4 linked regions of the Schizosaccharomyces pombe genome follow. Changing the gene in region 1 together with any one later gene gives a genetic interaction. Each region holds a gene or a part of one and is shown in the gene's direction. Other genes may lie near its edges.

Region 1 (4,107 bases):
GTTTTACAATTCTGACATTATAGTTGCTAGTCCTTTGGGACTTCGTCTTGCTATTGGTAACAAGGGAGATAAAAAGCGAGACCTCGATTATTTGAGTTCGATTGAAATAGCAATGGTTGACCAAGCTCATGCTCTCGTGATGCAAAACTGGGAACATATTGAATGCATTTTTGATGAACTTAATGGTTTGCCTAAAGAAGCTCACGGTTGTGATTTCAGTCGTGTTCGTCCTTGGTATCTTGATCAGCAAGCCAGATATATGCGCCAAACTATACTATTTTCTCAATATAACAATCTAGATATAAATTCTTTCTTTTCTCACTACATGTCAAATATTGCTGGTAAGGTTAAATTTCGCTCGCTTCTTCACGGTGTTTTAAACCGCTTGGGGTACAAAGTGACTCAAACTTTTGTTCGCATTTCTGTCGATTCTATTATTAAAGTTCCAGATGCCCGCTTTTCCTATTTTACTGGTTCTATACTAGTACAACTAAAGAAGTATTCCCAGAGTGGTATTTTAGTTTATATACCTTCATATTTTGATTTTGTTCGTGTGAGAAATTACATGGATGAGGAGGGAATTAACTATTCTGCCATATCAGAATATTCGAGTGTATCCGATATGACTAGAGCCCGCAATCTTTTTTATCAAGGTAGAACCAATATAATGCTATATACTGAGCGCGCTCACCATTTCCGTCGATTTGACTTTAGGGGTGTAAAAGCTGTTGTGATGTATGGTCCCCCAACGAATCCTCAGTTTTATGTTGAACTTGTTAGAATGCCGATGAGAACCATCTCTGAAGGAAACCTTGACAGTGATGCAGCAAAGTGTAGAATTATGTATACAAAGTTTGATTCTATTTGCCTGGAAGGCATAGTGGGATATCAGCGTGTATCAAACATGTGTCATGGTAAACATGAAGTTTTTGAATTTCTTTAAAAGAATACGAAAAAAATTTTTTTAAAAAGGAATTAGGGGTCATTTGGATTTTTGGATGAAAGAGCTACAAAATTACTACTTTAAAACAATAGAATAGCTTAAAATGTACTTTATTTGGACCATTCCGCTTTGCTTTATTTATTGAGAGCGAATGAGTAAATAGCTACTTGAATGATTTAACTTGACAGTGCTTTTTAAATGTTTTCAATATATAATTTTTTTTATACTTATTTCAAGATTCATATAGCGATTGGAAGGCATCGTACATTATCAATGAGTTTGGTTTCGACTGTGTTCCCGAAACCATATCTAAATCTCAATTGCTTTTGACGAAGATATGCTGAGAATTATCCGAAAGCAAAGCGGGATATGTATCTACTCGTTTATTAACAATAAAAATCGCTATCATATTCACCATAAATAAATGCAGTAATGCTACATGAAGCTGGTAATTATTACAATAATTCATCAAATCGAAATGTTTTCTATATCGCTAAAATCCTAATATCCACTTAGCTTATTGCCAAGTAACTTTTGATTTGAACAAGTTTTAAGTTTATGTAATGGTTTCGCAAGTCCTAACGCCTTGTTAGAAGTGATAGAATCGAAGACACCTACAAATATGCCCATAGCCAAATAGCATCTCAAACATGTTACAATATTTATCTAGTCCATTTTTTAAACAGTAAAGAAGCGACGATTGACTCAATTTAATCTTCTTCTTCTTGTTATCAAACCGCCACAACTTGATATTAAACGCAACGGCTAACTACCCATGAACTAAACCATATTGTTACCAAAGTAAGGTCTTGTGAAAGGATGCTTTTAATCCTTAAATCCTTGTTAATACTTTGCTAGGAATTGTATGAAAAGTAAAAAACATAAAAGTCATTAGTTAGGTTCAGCACTATCTTAACCTCTTAATATTCGTGTTGAATTCTTTTTTTTTTTTTCTATTTTGAGAGAAATAAGTAAGAAAATATTTTCTTTTTCAATTATACATCTACTTTCGATTGCTCGTCTGAGAAATAAAATAAGTGATGAGTACAGTAGAGGATCAACTTTCTCTTGAACTTGAAACAGTGAACAAGGATATACTGTTGAAAAAAGCACTTTTACATTACAAAGATGCTATAAAATCTGAAAGAGAAGGAAATTTAGGTGAATCTCTTAATAAATATCGATTAGCTCATAAAGTCCATGAAGATGTGGAATCTATCTATCGGCGTTTGGAGCGTTTGCAACTGTGTAAAAGAAATGAAGAGGAGGAAATGTTAAATTCAGATGCATCAGAAGCTATGCTCACTGTTTCCTCAGTCCCATCTCCAACGTTAACGGAAAATGAGTCTGTAAATGAGTCGGTCGTTCCCAATATACTGAAGCTTCCCGACGAGGTTTTGCTAGTTATCCTAGAGAATTGCATTAGGGACCTTCATGATTTAAGATATCTCTCTTCAATTGCACTAACTTGTAAGCATTTTGCGAAGGCATTACGAGCAGATTCTCTATATAGATCGTTTTGTTATTGCAGTTGTGAACAAAAAGAATGGCAACAGTCTATTAAGTCAATAGAGGAAGAACTCGTGGAAAAATACCAGCAAAGCTGGAAGACTTTGTTCCTTAAAAAGCCTCGATCTCGTTTTGACGGATGCTACATATCCGTTTGTCGATACTTTCGACCTGGAACTAGTGACACGAGCTGGAACCAACCCATACATTTGATCACATACTACCGGTATTTACGACTTTATCCTAATTCAACATGTATCGTTTATCAAAGCAGTAATGAACCAAATGATGTTGTTCGCAACTTCAGTGTGCAAAACACCAGTCTTTTTTCTCCTATGTCGAGTTCTCCTATGTTTAGTAATGGAAACGTAGCACTCACTGGCTCCTGGTCAATGACTCCTTCTGGAGAAATGCTAATTGTGTATCCCGCAAGTCAAACTTATACATACGTTCAAAAACTTCAAGTTCGTGGAATAAGGCTTAAGTGGATTTCTTTCTACTCCATCCATAATTATACCTCATTCACGAACGAAATGCCACTCACTCACAATCGTGACTATGTTTTCTCCAGAGTATATAGCTATACTGCTGACTCAGAGTCACTAAAACGTGGCTAGTCTTACTTTTTGGAATACTAATTTAGAAACCGCGGAAATGATTAATTATCTATTATAGGTCGCATCGTGAGAGGATTTAAAGAAATTATTTTTTATTAATATTAATGCCATCATTATTCTTCGCATGGAAATATATCATTAACATACATTTACAAATGAACAACAGATGCTTAACAAATTTTTGGAAGTACAAAGTTATAAACAATCCTAAGTCCAAGGAAACATGCGTGATACTTGAGGAGAAAAGAGTAAATAGAATGCACAAAACTTAAAAAATAAAAGAGGAAAACCCACGAAATGGAATATTAAACGTATCAGTTTCTTGAAGTCCAGATCGAATATTCATAAAGAAAACCATAAAACCATTCGTAATCATGTTCGTAAAAAATCCCTGCTTTTTTACCACAAATAAATAAACTAAAGGCAACATAAAAAATCGCCATATCGAAGCATTGAATGACAAAAGTAAAACATGGAGAAATATCGGAGAGCAATAATTCAACATGAAGATTCCGTTTTAAAGTTAACAAACGGATTTATTTTGGATAATAAAATTAAAGTAAATTAGTTTCGTAAAGAGAAAAAGAGAAAGGATTAACGAAACTGTAGAAAATCGCTCATTTCTATTCAAAGCTAAACCATTTCCTCTGGAGGTCTGTAAACTGGTGGTGGTGAAGCTGGTCGTTCGTGATTTACAGCTTCGGTTGCTGCAGGGCTTGCTTCATTTTGGGGTGTATTGCTTGCAGTAGCAGCTGGACTATATGGAGGTGGGACTTCTTCAGGCAAATTTTCAGAAACGGTAGTAGTTGTATTCGGGTGTGCCATTACATGTGTATACCGAACAGAGCCACGACGAGGTGAGCCAATTGGAGATGTATATACAGTTGCAGGAACGTATGCAGACTGGGGAGATGTAGGTGAACGGCGAGGAACTGCTGTTGCGCCAGGCCTAGCGCGAGCTTCTGCCATGGGGCGTGTAGTTGCTGGTTTGGTCTGTCCAGCCCTTGCCTGTCGACGGCGAACAAAAAATCTATTGAT
Region 2 (3,729 bases), on another chromosome or scaffold:
TGAGTCATTTTTTCAAATTTCCCGCTGAGACGATCTTGTTCTTTTTTCTTTCTACGTTGCTCCTCCAGTTCAACTCTGGCTTGCTGTTTTCTGGCAAACCATTTATTGTACTCTTCTTCTTTTTGTATTTTCTCTTTCGCTTCATCCGACACTTTAATTACGCCTTTATTCCGGAGAAGGCTTAGAACTGCACCAACATTGTCAGAGACAAGTGGCTCATCTTCTGCATTCTCCTGCTGCGTATTGGCTTCTTCGAGAGTTGCAGAAATATCAACCGAGGTGTCTTCCACTAAAGCATTACTTTCTTCAGTTGGAGAACTTCCAGTAATACTATTGGTATCGTTCAAATCTTTGGAATCTTCAAATGCTTGTTCATTTATGGAACCAAGAGCTTCTCGATTTTCAGTTTCCTTTATGCTATTAACAAAAGCACGCGTATCATCAAATATTAAACCGGAAGCCGTGTCCGAGTCCGTCATATCTGTGACTTCTTCGGCATTCTGCAATTGCTCAGCTACATCTTCTGGCTTAAGTATTTTCGCTCTTTTTTGAGCTAGCCTCCTCTGCATTGCAATTGACTGTTGCAAATCATCATCATCAGCAAACGACTGTGTTTCTAATTCGCGCATACGCTTTTGAATCTTCATTTTCTTTTGTTCTTTGAAAATAGCCGAATCTTGCTCAACTGACAGATCACTGTTACTCTGACCATTCGGTAGCACGAAATCAGATGGGTCATTTTCATTTTCATTTTCTGCATCAAGTTCTACTAGACGCTTTCTCCGATCAGACTTTGACTTTTTCTTTTTTGACTTCTTAATCTTTATTTGTCGATAATCTGATTGTTCGCTGCCAGTGATAGTTGGTTCAACGAAAGAGACAAGAGTCCCAAAAGTTTTTTTATTATCAGATTTATGTTTTTCTATAGTAGAATTAACAGTGAGACTATTTTGTGGACCAATGGTCGTAAAAGTATCTTCAGACGGTTGATCTGCTTCCGACTGTTGAAGAAAATCATTCTCATCTTCATACGGTTTGTAGGGGTTATCTTCCTTCCTTTCGTTTTTAGTCTTCCGCTGGACCATTTCAACATTTTCTAATAGATCATGATTATCTTCGTCTAATATATCAGCATCTTTCAATGTAAGGACTAGACCATCGTTCTTGTTTAAATCTTGAAAACCGTGTGCTATTTTCATTCCTTCTAATGAGCTATTCACATTGGGACCAGCATTTTGCGAATGTAGAGTGGATCTTCTGGGGGCGTCATTCTTCGCTTCAAAATTCAATCCATTGCCATTTTTATTCAATGAGGAATTACGCATTTTGAGTATCCACGCTCGAGTATCGTTAGCATCGATTTGATCATCCTCTTCTGCCAATGTTTCAGCGAGTGTTTTTCCTTGCGTTCTGCGTCTTCGTTCATTCTTTTGCCGTAATTTTTCAAATTTGCTTTTCAGTTCTTCTTCTTTCTTCCTATTTATTTCCTCCTGCTCTTGTTTCTTCCAATTTTCATAGGCCTGTTGTTCTTGATCGACATACGAAGACTTGACTGAAGCATCTGAAAGTTCTTTCTGAGGTTTTTCTTCTGAAATATCTAAGGGTTTGAGGCCTAGCGAAATTCTAATTCTATTGGTCTCCTCAATAGAAATCGATTCAGAGGCGCCTGAATTCCCAGACATTATACTAAATCCAACAGCAAGTGACAGACTTTCAAATGCTGATAAATAAATAATAATATGGATTTTTAATAAAAAAATACACTAAACTTGCAACTGACTCAAGGATATGAATAAAATAGGAGAATGGCGAAATACACGAACCGTAATATTGTTTCAAATAATTTACTTAAACTCTCATTTATATCTCACTAAGCTATTTTAGCGTACTTTCAAAAAAAGTTGCGTTTCCTAGTATGCGTCCGCGCTTGCTAAGGAATAATAAACAAAATACGTTAAAAAGAGAAGAGCAATTGAGGCGATACGTATATGAAGTATACATTTTCCAACAAGCAAGGATTCGTTATGATACCTATTATACGGCCTGGTCTAGTTGTAAAAAGATTACAAAGTCCCAAAATATTTTTAACTTTATGGAAAACTTGTTATAATGTAAAAACTTATTCCACTGAGTCTATAAAACAGAAGAAACCTCAAGATTTAAATTGGCCCACATTCCTGAAATTAAGAAAAAGCAGAAGGATTTTTGAAACCTTAACTTCTATTCCTACTGCACTTACCGGACTAGGATTAGGATCCGCCTATTTTCTTACGCGTACTGTTGACCCTACCATGACTATTATGGGTCTTGATCTATTTACTCTATATGTTATTGGAACTATTGCATCCGGAGGGCTTGGATGGCTTTTGGGCCCTAGTATAGGTAGAAAAATATGGACACTGCTTCATAAAAGTCAAGCGAGACAAATTGCAGCGGTACGTTCATTCCCTTAGATAATAGGGGTTATGTTAGCATCTACGGACTATGTTTTCTGAAAGTATTCTAATATATTTAATTTTTTAGAGAGAACAAGAATTTTACCGTCACTTGGTTAAAAACAGGGTTACACCTCAAATGGAAAGCTATTCTAATCCTATCCCAGGTATGCTGTGAAGGCTGCGTCATGATTGATGTCTAACTCTTAATTAGATTATTACGGTGAGAAAATTTACTCCCTTTCTGTATGTGATATGTGTTATCTACTCATTTACTTTGTACACTGATTACTAACTTTTATGCAAAGGACTATCGACGTTGGTTGAGGGATCAGAAGGCTTACATACAACGGGCATTTTGGCGTACAAGCAATCGTTAAATTAGAAGTGTTGAAGTGATAGCTTGTCATATAGAATTGTGGATGAGGTTCTTTTCTTAACACGATAACTAAAAGGATACAGAAGCATTGCCGTATCAGTATTTGTGAAAAGAAGTTCATCTATTGAAATCTGTATAGTCTCAACTTATAGTACAGACTTTTCTCAAGCAAGTGTTTTTGTCCATGTGTAGAGAAATTCTAGTAATGATTATCTTAATTATAATTTACCGTGCATACAATTTCTTACATAATTTGTTGTACATGTCACTCCTGCTATTGAATTTTATCTTTTGCAACAAGCTTTTGCCGTCTGTTCTATGATTGTTGTACAACTGACATGGTAAAACCATTAGAAGCAGATATTAGAAGATTATAAATATATAACATTTTTGTTTGTAATGCATGACATGCCAGTACACAATTTTAATAACAATTAAAAAATGCATTGGTTCAATTTATAAATTACAAGACTGAAACTGATCAAATAAAAAGAATATAGCTAAACCTTTGAAAACATAATTAATAGTTTACAGTATCAGTTTTAACTTGATTACTCCTCCAAAATTCAAGAACCTTTATGTGTAAACATTAATATAGTTTTGATGTAATAAATTAGCGAAGGAGATCAAATGTTGTTTCGCTGCGCGCTATTTGTAGGATTCGTAGGTTGAAAACGAGGCAACCTTGTATCTACCACCTAACGGAAGTAAACAAACTAGTGAGGGCAATTCATACATTTGAGTTAGTTAAAGCGAACTAACTTGAATTATTTATTATTTGTTAAAGGATGACTTCGGCTCTTTACTCTGGTGGTGGAAAATCTGCAGGATCATTGGAATCGGCACTTGATGAAGAACGTCTCGAAGTTTTACGATGGATGAAAGAAAGAGAAGAAAAAAAGCACCGTCAGCTAG
Region 3 (4,634 bases), 950 kb from region 1:
AGCCAAACACATTTTATCCTGCTATTAATACATTTTGGCCATTGGTCGTTATTCAGCTTGACACGGATAACGAACTGCTAGTAGAATGCGCATTAGAAACTATATATCAAGTTTGCGCCCTTGCAGATGATTTTATGACATCTAGGATTCGCCAAGATTTGCTTCCACGATTGGAGACGTTGTGCCAACGTTGGCATCTTTTCAATGTTGCTCGAACATATTCTAGTGAGCATCGTTTGCAAAGGGCAATGCTAAAAGTAACTTCAGCATGTGTGGCTAACAAATTGAGCATTGTAGTGTATTTGAAGCTTATGGGGATAACGGCACCCATCATACGAGCCATTACTCACATGTCTCAAAAGTATGCGGGGGATGAATCATTGGTGGAAGAAACTTGGAACGCATTTTCCAAGCAAAATCCCGACGCAGTGTATTATGAGAGAGAAGTTCGAGGGTCTCAAATGATTGACACTTTCTCTACTGAATTGTTAATTCCGGGAAAGCAACGTGTTCAACGTACATATCGCCGAACACATGAAGTTTTGGAACCTGTCGGAGCAAAGACGTCGGAGACTGTTTTCAATGATTTGCTTGGGCAACAAGGCAGCGGGAAAACCGAGACACAAGAGGAACCACTCCCTTCTTTGGACAATTTGTTACACTTGAATCAACCGAAAAAAGGAGCTAAAAAACCATTGATTTCCATCATTTAACGATAATAAAAGTGGTTACCAGTTTTAGAATTTTCCGTGTTTTAAAAGAAAATACAAAGAGCCTAAAAATCAGGCAAAGAATTCCATTACATCGCATAAAATTATATTGGCAAAGGCTCGACTTTTTTCATCTTGGCATTATTTGATTTGACTAAGGCTGTACTCGATTCAACTTGTTTCGATTTAGATGAGCCATTTTACCTACATTCAATGAGTCAGACTCAACGAATTTAGCTAAGTTGACGAAACGAGGCTGGCAGCTACCTAAATTATACTAAAAAACAAACTCATCTTGCTACCGAGCACAACGACGATCGCACCTTGTTTCGTAGTTTCGCTAATCTTTCGAATGAACTATTTTCTATCCAATTTTAGATTCAAAGCAAACAGCCACATGATCGGGCAAGGAATAAATGGACAAACGATAGTGGGATAGTGGGTTATCAGAAGACCAAAAAATAAAGAAATTTGAAATTTTTCTAACTTACATCTACGCTACGAATTTCATGACTCTGTTTCGTTTGTCTTTTTTCTATTGAAAGCTAGTCATGACTATGGCTGCTAAGGCGCAATACGTTTGGATGAGCGAATGTTTAGTCCATACTGTAAAACCGAGGCAAGGCCGTTTACTCGAATTTTCGGATATGTATTTGCGATTTGGTCTGCCTGGAAGAACCTACCCGTTTCAGTGTGATTCGACCTATTTCAGTATTTAGCGTTTTTTTCTTTTGGTACTATCCTTAGTTATCCTTGTTATCAGTAAGGGGGCAGCAACTGAAAGGAGTAAAGAATAGACCCTTTAAATGGATGTGAGAGATTGGAACGAGATTAGATTAACAAAGGACTTGGACTTTTCCAGATTTTTTTTCTTAAAAAAATTATAGAAACTGTTAATCAACAGAAAGCGAAAATCTTCTATATTACAACATTAACCTCTCTAAAACATTTTTTTTTCATCTAAAAACATCTTTCCCCCCCCCCCAAGCACCCCATCCCACTAAGGATCTTCTATAATTCCATGGATTTTCCCGGAGGAGCTGCGTTTTCCCCACATTTTCAGTAGGGTGGGTGATAGCCGTTGCACGGACCAATCATTAAGCAATGCTTATCTTATCTTTATTTGGTTGAGCAGGAGACGAAGGAATTCTGTGAGGGGGTTGGCTTATCAGATCGGAAATTTTCCGCTTAAGTAATCTTCTTTTCCACTATCCAATTATAGAGAAAAGAGATATATAGGAGCATTGTGATTGGAGATTTTGACATCATACTTACATCCTATTCGTCTGTTATCTCCGCCATCGCTCTTCCATCAGGTTTATTGCAAGTCGTCAGCCATTAGCAAACGTATGGTCTCCCAAAAAACAAGGTATCTGGTGTGACTGTTGATTATTGCTTGTTAAGTGTATAAATATAGCAGACATGGCCAGCACGTCCCTGAATCCTCCTGCTACACTGCACTGGTACATCTGGTAAGCGTTTTGAACCCGGATCGATATCTCTTACATACTCACGTTGTAAGAGTTTTGTTGGATTGTAGTTAAATTTTGAAAGTCTTTGCGTTGAAGGCGTCGAATACGGATTTGTATAGAACTTTGGATTGTACAGCCTGTATTTGTATTGTTAAAAGTTTTCGAGGTCGCCTTTTTTTGATATCTCGAATTCTCTAAACTTATCATTATTATATAGATATACACTCTATATCACTACCTTCGATTTTGTTTACTTTTTTGGCCCACCATGAGTACCCCATACGAACCTGAATTTCAACAAGCCTACAAGGAGATTGTGGGCTCCATCGAGAGCTCCAAGCTCTTTGAAGTTCATCCCGAGTTGAAGCGTGTGCTTCCAATCATTTCCATTCCCGAACGTGTCTTAGAATTCCGCGTCACATGGGAGGACGATAAAGGTAACTGCCGTGTTAACACCGGCTACCGTGTCCAATTCAACTCGGCTTTGGGCCCCTACAAGGGTGGATTGCGTTTCCATCCTTCCGTCAACTTGAGCATCCTCAAGTTCTTGGGCTTTGAACAAATTTTCAAGAATGCCTTGACGGGCCTTCCCATGGGTGGTGGCAAAGGTGGTTCTGACTTCGACCCCAAGGGCAAATCCGACAACGAGATTCGTCGCTTCTCGCAAGCTTTCATGCGTCAGCTTTTCCGCTATATCGGTCCTCAAACTGATGTACCGGCTGGTGATATTGGTGTCACAGGTTTTGTCGTTATGCACATGTTTGGTGAGTACAAGCGTCTTCGCAATGAGTACAGTGGTGTCGTCACCGGCAAGCACATGCTTACCGGCGGTAGCAACATTCGTCCTGAAGCCACTGGCTACGGTGTCGTTTACTATGTTAAGCACATGATTGAACACCGCACCAAGGGTGCCGAGACCTTGAAGGGCAAGCGTGTTGCCATCTCCGGTAGCGGCAACGTTGCTCAATATGCTGCCTTGAAGTGCATTCAAGAAGGCGCTATTGTTAAGAGTATCAGTGACTCTAAAGGTGTCCTAATTGCAAAGACCGCTGAAGGCCTTGTCCCTGAAGAGATCCATGAAATTATGGCTCTAAAGGAGAAGCGTGCCAGCATTGCCGACTCTGCTTCTCTTTGCAAGAAGCATCACTACATCGCCGGTGCTCGTCCCTGGACTAATGTTGGTGAAATTGACATTGCTTTGCCTTGTGCAACTCAAAACGAAGTTAGCGGTGAGGAAGCCGCCGCTCTTATCAAACAAGGATGTCGCTACGTTGCTGAGGGCTCCAACATGGGTTCTTCTGCTGAGGCCGTTGAAGTCTTTGAGAAGTCTCGTGCTTCTGGTGAGGGTTGCTGGCTTGCTCCTGGTAAGGCTGCCAATGCTGGTGGTGTCGCCGTTTCTGGCTTGGAAATGGCTCAAAATGCTCAATTCTCTACCTGGACTCATGCCGAGGTTGACGCTAAATTGGCTGGAATTATGCAAAACATCTTTGAACAATCCACCGATGTCGCCTCCAAGTATTGTGACTCTGGCTCTAACAACATTCCCAGTCTTGTCGATGGTGCCAACATTGCTGGTTTCTTGAAGGTTGCTACTGCCATGCAAGCCGTTGGTGACTGGTGGTAGACTTCATTCGTGAAATGTTTAGGCATTTTTGATTCACTGTATCTGTATATGTTTTTTCAAGTCACTCGCTTTTCTGTACCTCTTCTACTTTACCAATTTTTTTAAAAAGCTATGAATCTATTAGATGATTATGATGCATACGAAAAAAAATAAATCAGTCTTTGAATTATTCTCACAGATGCTTCGAATACGAAGTACCCGTAATTATGTAGACTTTTCATGTAATAAAAGGATCATTTGATTTTCTAGTTCCGCTCAAGGCGCCTCCTTTATTCAATTAATTTTAACTGGTATTTGATAGCTGTATGAAATTATTATTTATGAGAATCCTTTGAAGAATTTACTAAAAAGAATTTTTTAACGTTATGTAAATGATAGACTTGTATAAGAAAATAGTTGAGAAATAACAATTGCTGTTAAAAATGTGAAGAATAGACTAAATTATTAAAATACATAGGGCTCATAACGGTAAATTAAACATGGGCATTATTTGTACCCAAAAGAAGGGCTCTGCCTTCAGCTAAATAGGCAGCCGAGGTTTCATTAAACAGATCATCATCGTTTTCTGAATTCAGTGATGAATCATCAAAGTCATCGGAAGAGCTGGCACTGGATGATTTGCGCAGCGTAATGGAATAAATGAATTGTCGCAACCTATATTTTAAAGAAATCATAGAAAAAATAATCGGCAGTAGTATAAAGGTTGGATAACGTTTGCTAATAAGATTTCCAAGTGGTAAGAGGTCAATACTCTCACCATAGAATTGATGGAATTGGGTGGGATAAGGTTGTAGAGAAACAAAGTTATAACAAAGAGGAAGCGTTAAG
Region 4 (4,907 bases), on another chromosome or scaffold:
TAAGTTATACGAAGTGTAAGTAAGGATCTTTCTTGAAGAAATTAAAGAAAAGTAGACAGTTGTTCAGAATTGCCAGAGGCAAGTCTTATTTCTTTATTTTATTGCAGATTTCAGAAAGCGACATGCCTAACACTTTATAGTATAGATAAGAAGAAGGATGAGTTTGTTACTAGGCTTTCACGGGCAGTTTCTATACCTTCTGTCTCTGCCGATGTAACGCTTCGTCCCAAAGTTGTAGAGATGGCTGACTTTGTGGTTAGTGAGTTCACAAAGTTGGGAGCCAAGATGGAGAAGCGTGATATTGGTTATCATCAAATGGATGGACAAGACGTTCCTCTGCCACCTATTGTTCTCGGTCAATACGGAAATGACCCTTCTAAAAAGACTGTTTTAATTTATAATCACTTTGATGTTCAGCCGGCTTCATTAGAAGATGGATGGAGTACTGACCCTTTCACGTTGACAGTTGACAATAAAGGACGCATGTTTGGTCGCGGTGCTACTGATGATAAAGGACCGCTCATTGGATGGATTTCGGCCATTGAAGCTCACAAAGAACTTGGTATTGATTTTCCAGTAAACTTACTCATGTGTTTTGAAGGAATGGAGGAATACGGCAGTGAAGGTTTAGAAGATTTAATTCGTGCAGAAGCTGAAAAGTACTTTGCTAAAGCAGATTGTGTTTGCATCAGCGATACTTATTGGTTGGGTACCAAAAAGCCAGTTTTAACTTACGGCCTCCGTGGTGTTTGTTACTTTAATATTACTGTCGAAGGACCATCTGCTGATCTGCACTCTGGCGTTTTTGGCGGTACTGTGCATGAGCCTATGACGGACTTAGTTGCTATCATGAGTACTTTAGTTAAACCCAATGGTGAAATTTTGATTCCTGGTATCATGGACCAAGTAGCAGAACTCACACCTACCGAGGATAGTATTTATGATGGAATTGATTATACAATGGAAGATTTGAAAGAGGCGGTCGGTGCTGATATTTCTATTTATCCCGATCCCAAGAGAACACTTCAACATCGCTGGAGATATCCTACACTTTCACTTCATGGTATTGAAGGTGCCTTTAGTGGCAGTGGTGCTAAAACGGTTATTCCCGCGAAAGTTATTGGTAAATTTTCCATTCGCACCGTCCCCAATATGGAGTCAGAAACTGTTGAACGACTTGTTAAAGAACATGTAACAAAGGTTTTCAACTCTTTGAACTCGAAAAACAAGCTCGCTTTTAACAACATGCACTCTGGAAGTTGGTGGATTTCTTCTCCTGACCACTGGCATTATGATGTCGGTAAAAAAGCCACTGAGCGTGTTTACGGTATAACCCCAGATTTCGTTCGTGAAGGCGGTTCTATTCCAGTAACTGTTACTTTTGAGCAATCTTTGAAGAAAAATGTTTTGTTGTTGCCTATGGGCCGTGGTGATGACGGTGCCCACAGTATCAATGAGAAATTAGACCTTGATAACTTCCTTAAGGGCATAAAACTTTTCTGTACTTATGTTCATGAGTTGGCTTCTGTTTCTCCTTAAAATCCCTTTCGATTTAGCGTTAAGTTAATACTATCATGATATTGGTGTGTTTACTTTGTATTGGTAGATTCTGTACGTTAAATATTATAAATCTTGTTATTCGAAATTATTTACGCATTCTTTTAATGAATAAACTTTGTCATTGAATCCGAGTAATATGCGCTTGCGAGCCTTGGTATGTAACTGAGTGATTTCATGTCTGCAATTCTATATGATTATCTAGAAATGAAAATTCTGCAAAGTCAAATAAAATACGAAAGTTAGGAATAAGATGTTGTTTACTTCATCGTTTATTTTTAATAATCAGCTCCAAAACTTGTATTACCTGTAATGCAATCTGACTTTTATTTCTTTAAATCAAATATTGATGCTTACCGTGTTGTAACGAACTAAAGACGAATTTCAAATAAAACACTAACATTTCTTTACTATGCCACTGAGCCTTAATCAAATTTCGGTTACCTTCCGTTGAATAAGGCTAATTAAGGATCGCTTTGAGTGCATTTATGTATTAACTTCTTTTTACACAACTTAGTGAGTACACCTGGTTTTGTTTGCTTCCAGCAACACCTGCGAAACCGGTAATCCTTGAAAATTTAAATCTTCTTAGATTGACAAGCTTTGCTATCTAGAGTTGATGCATGCTAGAACCTAAAATAGAAACGAGTGTTATGAATCTTGACAAATGAATAGTTCAATTAAACGACTTCACAAAGAATATGCCAGTTTCCAGGCTGGAGATATATCTGGTCTCTTACTTTTAAAACCGGTCACTGATGTTGATATGTTCCATTGGAAGGCAGTCATTGAAGGACCTACTGAAACACCGTATGAAGGGGGGCAATGGGTTCTCGATATTCATGTTCACGAAGGGTATCCTATTAGTCCCCCGTCTGTGTATTTTCAAACAAAAATTGTACATCCGAATATTTCATGGACGGTAAGCCAATTTAAATAGAGTTTTTTAGATTACATTCATTAGCTAACGTCAATGGTAGAACGGCGAAGTATGTATGGACATATTAAAGACACATTGGTCGCCGGCCTGGAGTCTACAATCTGCTTGTTTAGCAATTATCTCTCTTTTAAGTAATTACGATGCTAGTTCTCCATTAAATGTAGATGCCGCCAAGCTGTTGAGAACCGGGGACAAAACGGCTTATAATTCATTAGTTCGATGTACAACCTATCTTTACGCCAAAGGTAAGATAGAAGATCTTTCATAAATCATGCAAAAATGGATCCTACTGAACGGGGGAAGGGTATAGTTTCTTTTACGTTCGTGTTTTCTCCTTCTAGAAAAGCAATCAGTCGTTCTATCCCTAAGCCAAACCCTCCGTGTGGCGCATTGCTGTACTTCATTAGGTCTAAATACCATTGAAGTTCTGGTGGGTAAGTTTTATACTCATCTAAATGGTCTTTACGTAAAGAACCTCCAGCAAGTTCACCCACCTGTGGAACGAGTAAATCAACAGCAGCAACTGTATCGGGCCCAGAGGATTTCATATAAAACGGTTTAATTTTTTGTGGATAGTCCGTCACGAATACCGGAGTTTTATGTAAGATTTCACAAAGATATTTTTCATGTTCACTACTTAAATCGTTTCCCCATTTAGGAGGGTATTTCCATGTTTTTTTCACAGCGCTTAATTCTTCTATTGCTTCAGAATATGTCATGCATTTCCACGGTTTAAGCAGTTGGTCCCAATGATCTCTGTGATAGTTCTGCTCCATCAATGAATTAAGAGTATATTTAATCATATCCTCCATAAGTGATGTTAGTTGTGAAAGCGAAGTCATGAACGCAACTTCTGCTTCCAGCATCCAAAATTCTGCCAAATGTCGACTAGTATGACTTTGTTCTGCTCTAAATGCTGGCGATATAGTATACACTCTGGACAGTCCTAATGCTAGAGCCTCTAGATGCAATTGAGTGGATACAGTTAAAAATGCAGGTCGGTCAAAAAAATGCTTTTGATCATCTCTTTCAAAACTTTTATTTTTATGCGTCTCCTGGGGGGTCAAGGTAAATACTTCACCAGCTCCTTCACAATCAGAAGAAGTTATTATCGGGGGGTTGGTCTCTGTAAAATCTTTGCTTGAAAAAAATTGTCGCAATGCTTTTAATGAATCTGAACGGAGACGAAAAATCTCCCCTTGTTTTGCTGTTCGTAATCGAAGATGGGGTATTTGTCGTAACATTTCAGTAGTCAAATGTTTTTTCTGAATAGGGTAGTTCTATATTCCGGATTAGAATTTAATTCTATGGCGATAGACTTGCAGTATATTCAATTTTGAAAGCACATACATCATCATTTATCTGGCCGTAAATTTTTATTTTCTCAGCCAACAGTTCATACTGCTGCAATCCAAGTTTTGCGTTTTTAGAAACTGCCAACTGGCCTTCAATATTCACACTAGCACCATATGATAGCCTTGATAATAAATTAATGTTAGTAGGAAAAAGATATCATATAATTTAGATTTTATGTCTCCTCCTCAACCATACTTCTTACTCTGTTCAGGCGAAGTCACCACTTGAAGGGCTTGTTGACATGTACCATCAGAAACCATGGCAAAACAAACATTTTTTAGTTTTCGGATAGATCGTACCCAGCCGTTTATGCTTATTAACTCTCCATTATGTGGGTGATGCCATAAAGACTTTAAAGTTTTTGGTAGTTGGAATTTATTCATACGGAATTAGCAAACAATTCAATTTTAATTATTAATTTACAAAAAATCCTCTATTGCTAAGGAAATTATGAATTCTTCCAAAAACTATTCGCCAATAACTAGAAATGCAAAGAGCGGTAGTAGTAAGGCGACTTTACATATCCTCAGTATGAAGGTGTTGCGTTAAGAATTAAGTCATTTTAATAAGGACTTGTAAAAAGATACAAAGTTACTTAAGTAAGTTAAAACAAATTTTTTCGTTCAAAAAATTGTAAGGACGTCAATTGGAGAATCCAGAAAGTACCACTTTAAAGTCATCAATGGCTGACTTCGTGGCTTCTAGAAGAGGAAGATTGTCGTAACTTGGTATCATTTTTTTCAAATTTATAAATTGAAACAACATCTGATCGCGTGTCCATCGTCCATTAGCTTCTTTTACGATATTTTCCCAATGAATTTTACCACCATTGTTCAATAACGAGTCGTAAATCCTTAAATTAAAATATTAGCAAGCAAGAGAAATTATGTAGGTCAATACTTACCTTTCTAAGAGCCAAACGTTTTCTTGAAGTTCAAATTTTGAAGCAGCCTTCGTCAATTGCTGAAATTTATAACGACACTGTAAACGAGTCCTAGTACCTAACATTTGGGCAACAAGCGTCCAATTAATGTCAGAACTTAAGTCTTCACGG

Evidence for each region.
Region 2: mutations in pof7 (region 1) and pam17 together harm fitness more than expected from each alone (negative genetic interaction), as found in Schizosaccharomyces pombe (one large-scale study listed by BioGRID).
Region 3: mutations in pof7 (region 1) and gdh1 together harm fitness more than expected from each alone (negative genetic interaction), as found in Schizosaccharomyces pombe (one large-scale study listed by BioGRID).
Region 4: mutations in pof7 (region 1) and ubc16 together harm fitness more than expected from each alone (negative genetic interaction), as found in Schizosaccharomyces pombe (one large-scale study listed by BioGRID).

Annotation. Positions count from the first base shown.
Region 1 is NC_003421.2:2,370,956-2,375,062, reverse strand, and holds pof7 (F-box protein Pof7), read left to right. Parts: upstream 1-1,725; 5' UTR 1,726-1,983; coding exon 1,984-3,069; 3' UTR 3,070-3,549; downstream 3,550-4,107. Other genes in the region: U3 associated protein Utp25, read left to right, coding at 1-943; SPOM_SPCC70.10 (uncharacterized protein), read right to left, coding at 3,703-4,107.
Region 2 is NC_003424.3:1,553,087-1,556,815, reverse strand, and holds pam17 (putative TIM23 translocase complex-associated motor subunit Pam17), read left to right. Parts: upstream 1-1,995; 5' UTR 1,996-2,024; coding exon 2,025-2,435; intron 2,436-2,523; coding exon 2,524-2,602; intron 2,603-2,649; coding exon 2,650-2,681; intron 2,682-2,743; coding exon 2,744-2,815; 3' UTR 2,816-3,229; downstream 3,230-3,729. Other genes in the region: U4/U5/U6 small nuclear ribonucleoprotein complex subunit Snu66, read right to left, coding at 1-1,682; protein Dbs2, read left to right, coding at 3,603-3,729. UniProt on the Schizosaccharomyces pombe protein: Component of the PAM complex, a complex required for the translocation of transit peptide-containing proteins from the inner membrane into the mitochondrial matrix in an ATP-dependent manner.
Region 3 is NC_003421.2:1,418,629-1,423,262, reverse strand, and holds gdh1 (NADP-specific glutamate dehydrogenase Gdh1), read left to right. Parts: upstream 1-2,059; 5' UTR 2,060-2,450; coding exon 2,451-3,806; 3' UTR 3,807-4,132; downstream 4,133-4,634. Other genes in the region: TTT co-chaperone complex, armadillo-type fold subunit Tti1, read left to right, coding at 1-713; lmb1 (plasma membrane LMBR1-like multi-pass membrane protein, human LMBRD2 ortholog, implicated in signaling), read right to left, coding at 4,280-4,634.
Region 4 is NC_003423.3:187,441-192,347, forward strand, and holds ubc16 (ubiquitin conjugating enzyme Ubc16), read left to right. Parts: upstream 1-1,966; 5' UTR 1,967-2,224; coding exon 2,225-2,479; exon of another isoform or gene 2,480-2,537; coding exon 2,538-2,765; 3' UTR 2,766-2,766; coding exon of another isoform or gene 2,767-3,777; 3' UTR 3,778-3,847; coding exon of another isoform or gene 3,848-3,974; 3' UTR 3,975-4,048; coding exon of another isoform or gene 4,049-4,236; 3' UTR 4,237-4,346; downstream 4,347-4,907. Other genes in the region: dipeptidase Dug1, read left to right, coding at 1-15, 141-1,539; asparagine--tRNA (Asn) ligase Slm5, read right to left, coding at 2,767-3,777, 3,848-3,974, 4,049-4,236; RNA polymerase I transcription termination factor/ RNA polymerase II transcription factor Reb1, read right to left, coding at 4,496-4,706, 4,758-4,907. UniProt on the Schizosaccharomyces pombe protein: Catalyzes the covalent attachment of ubiquitin to other proteins.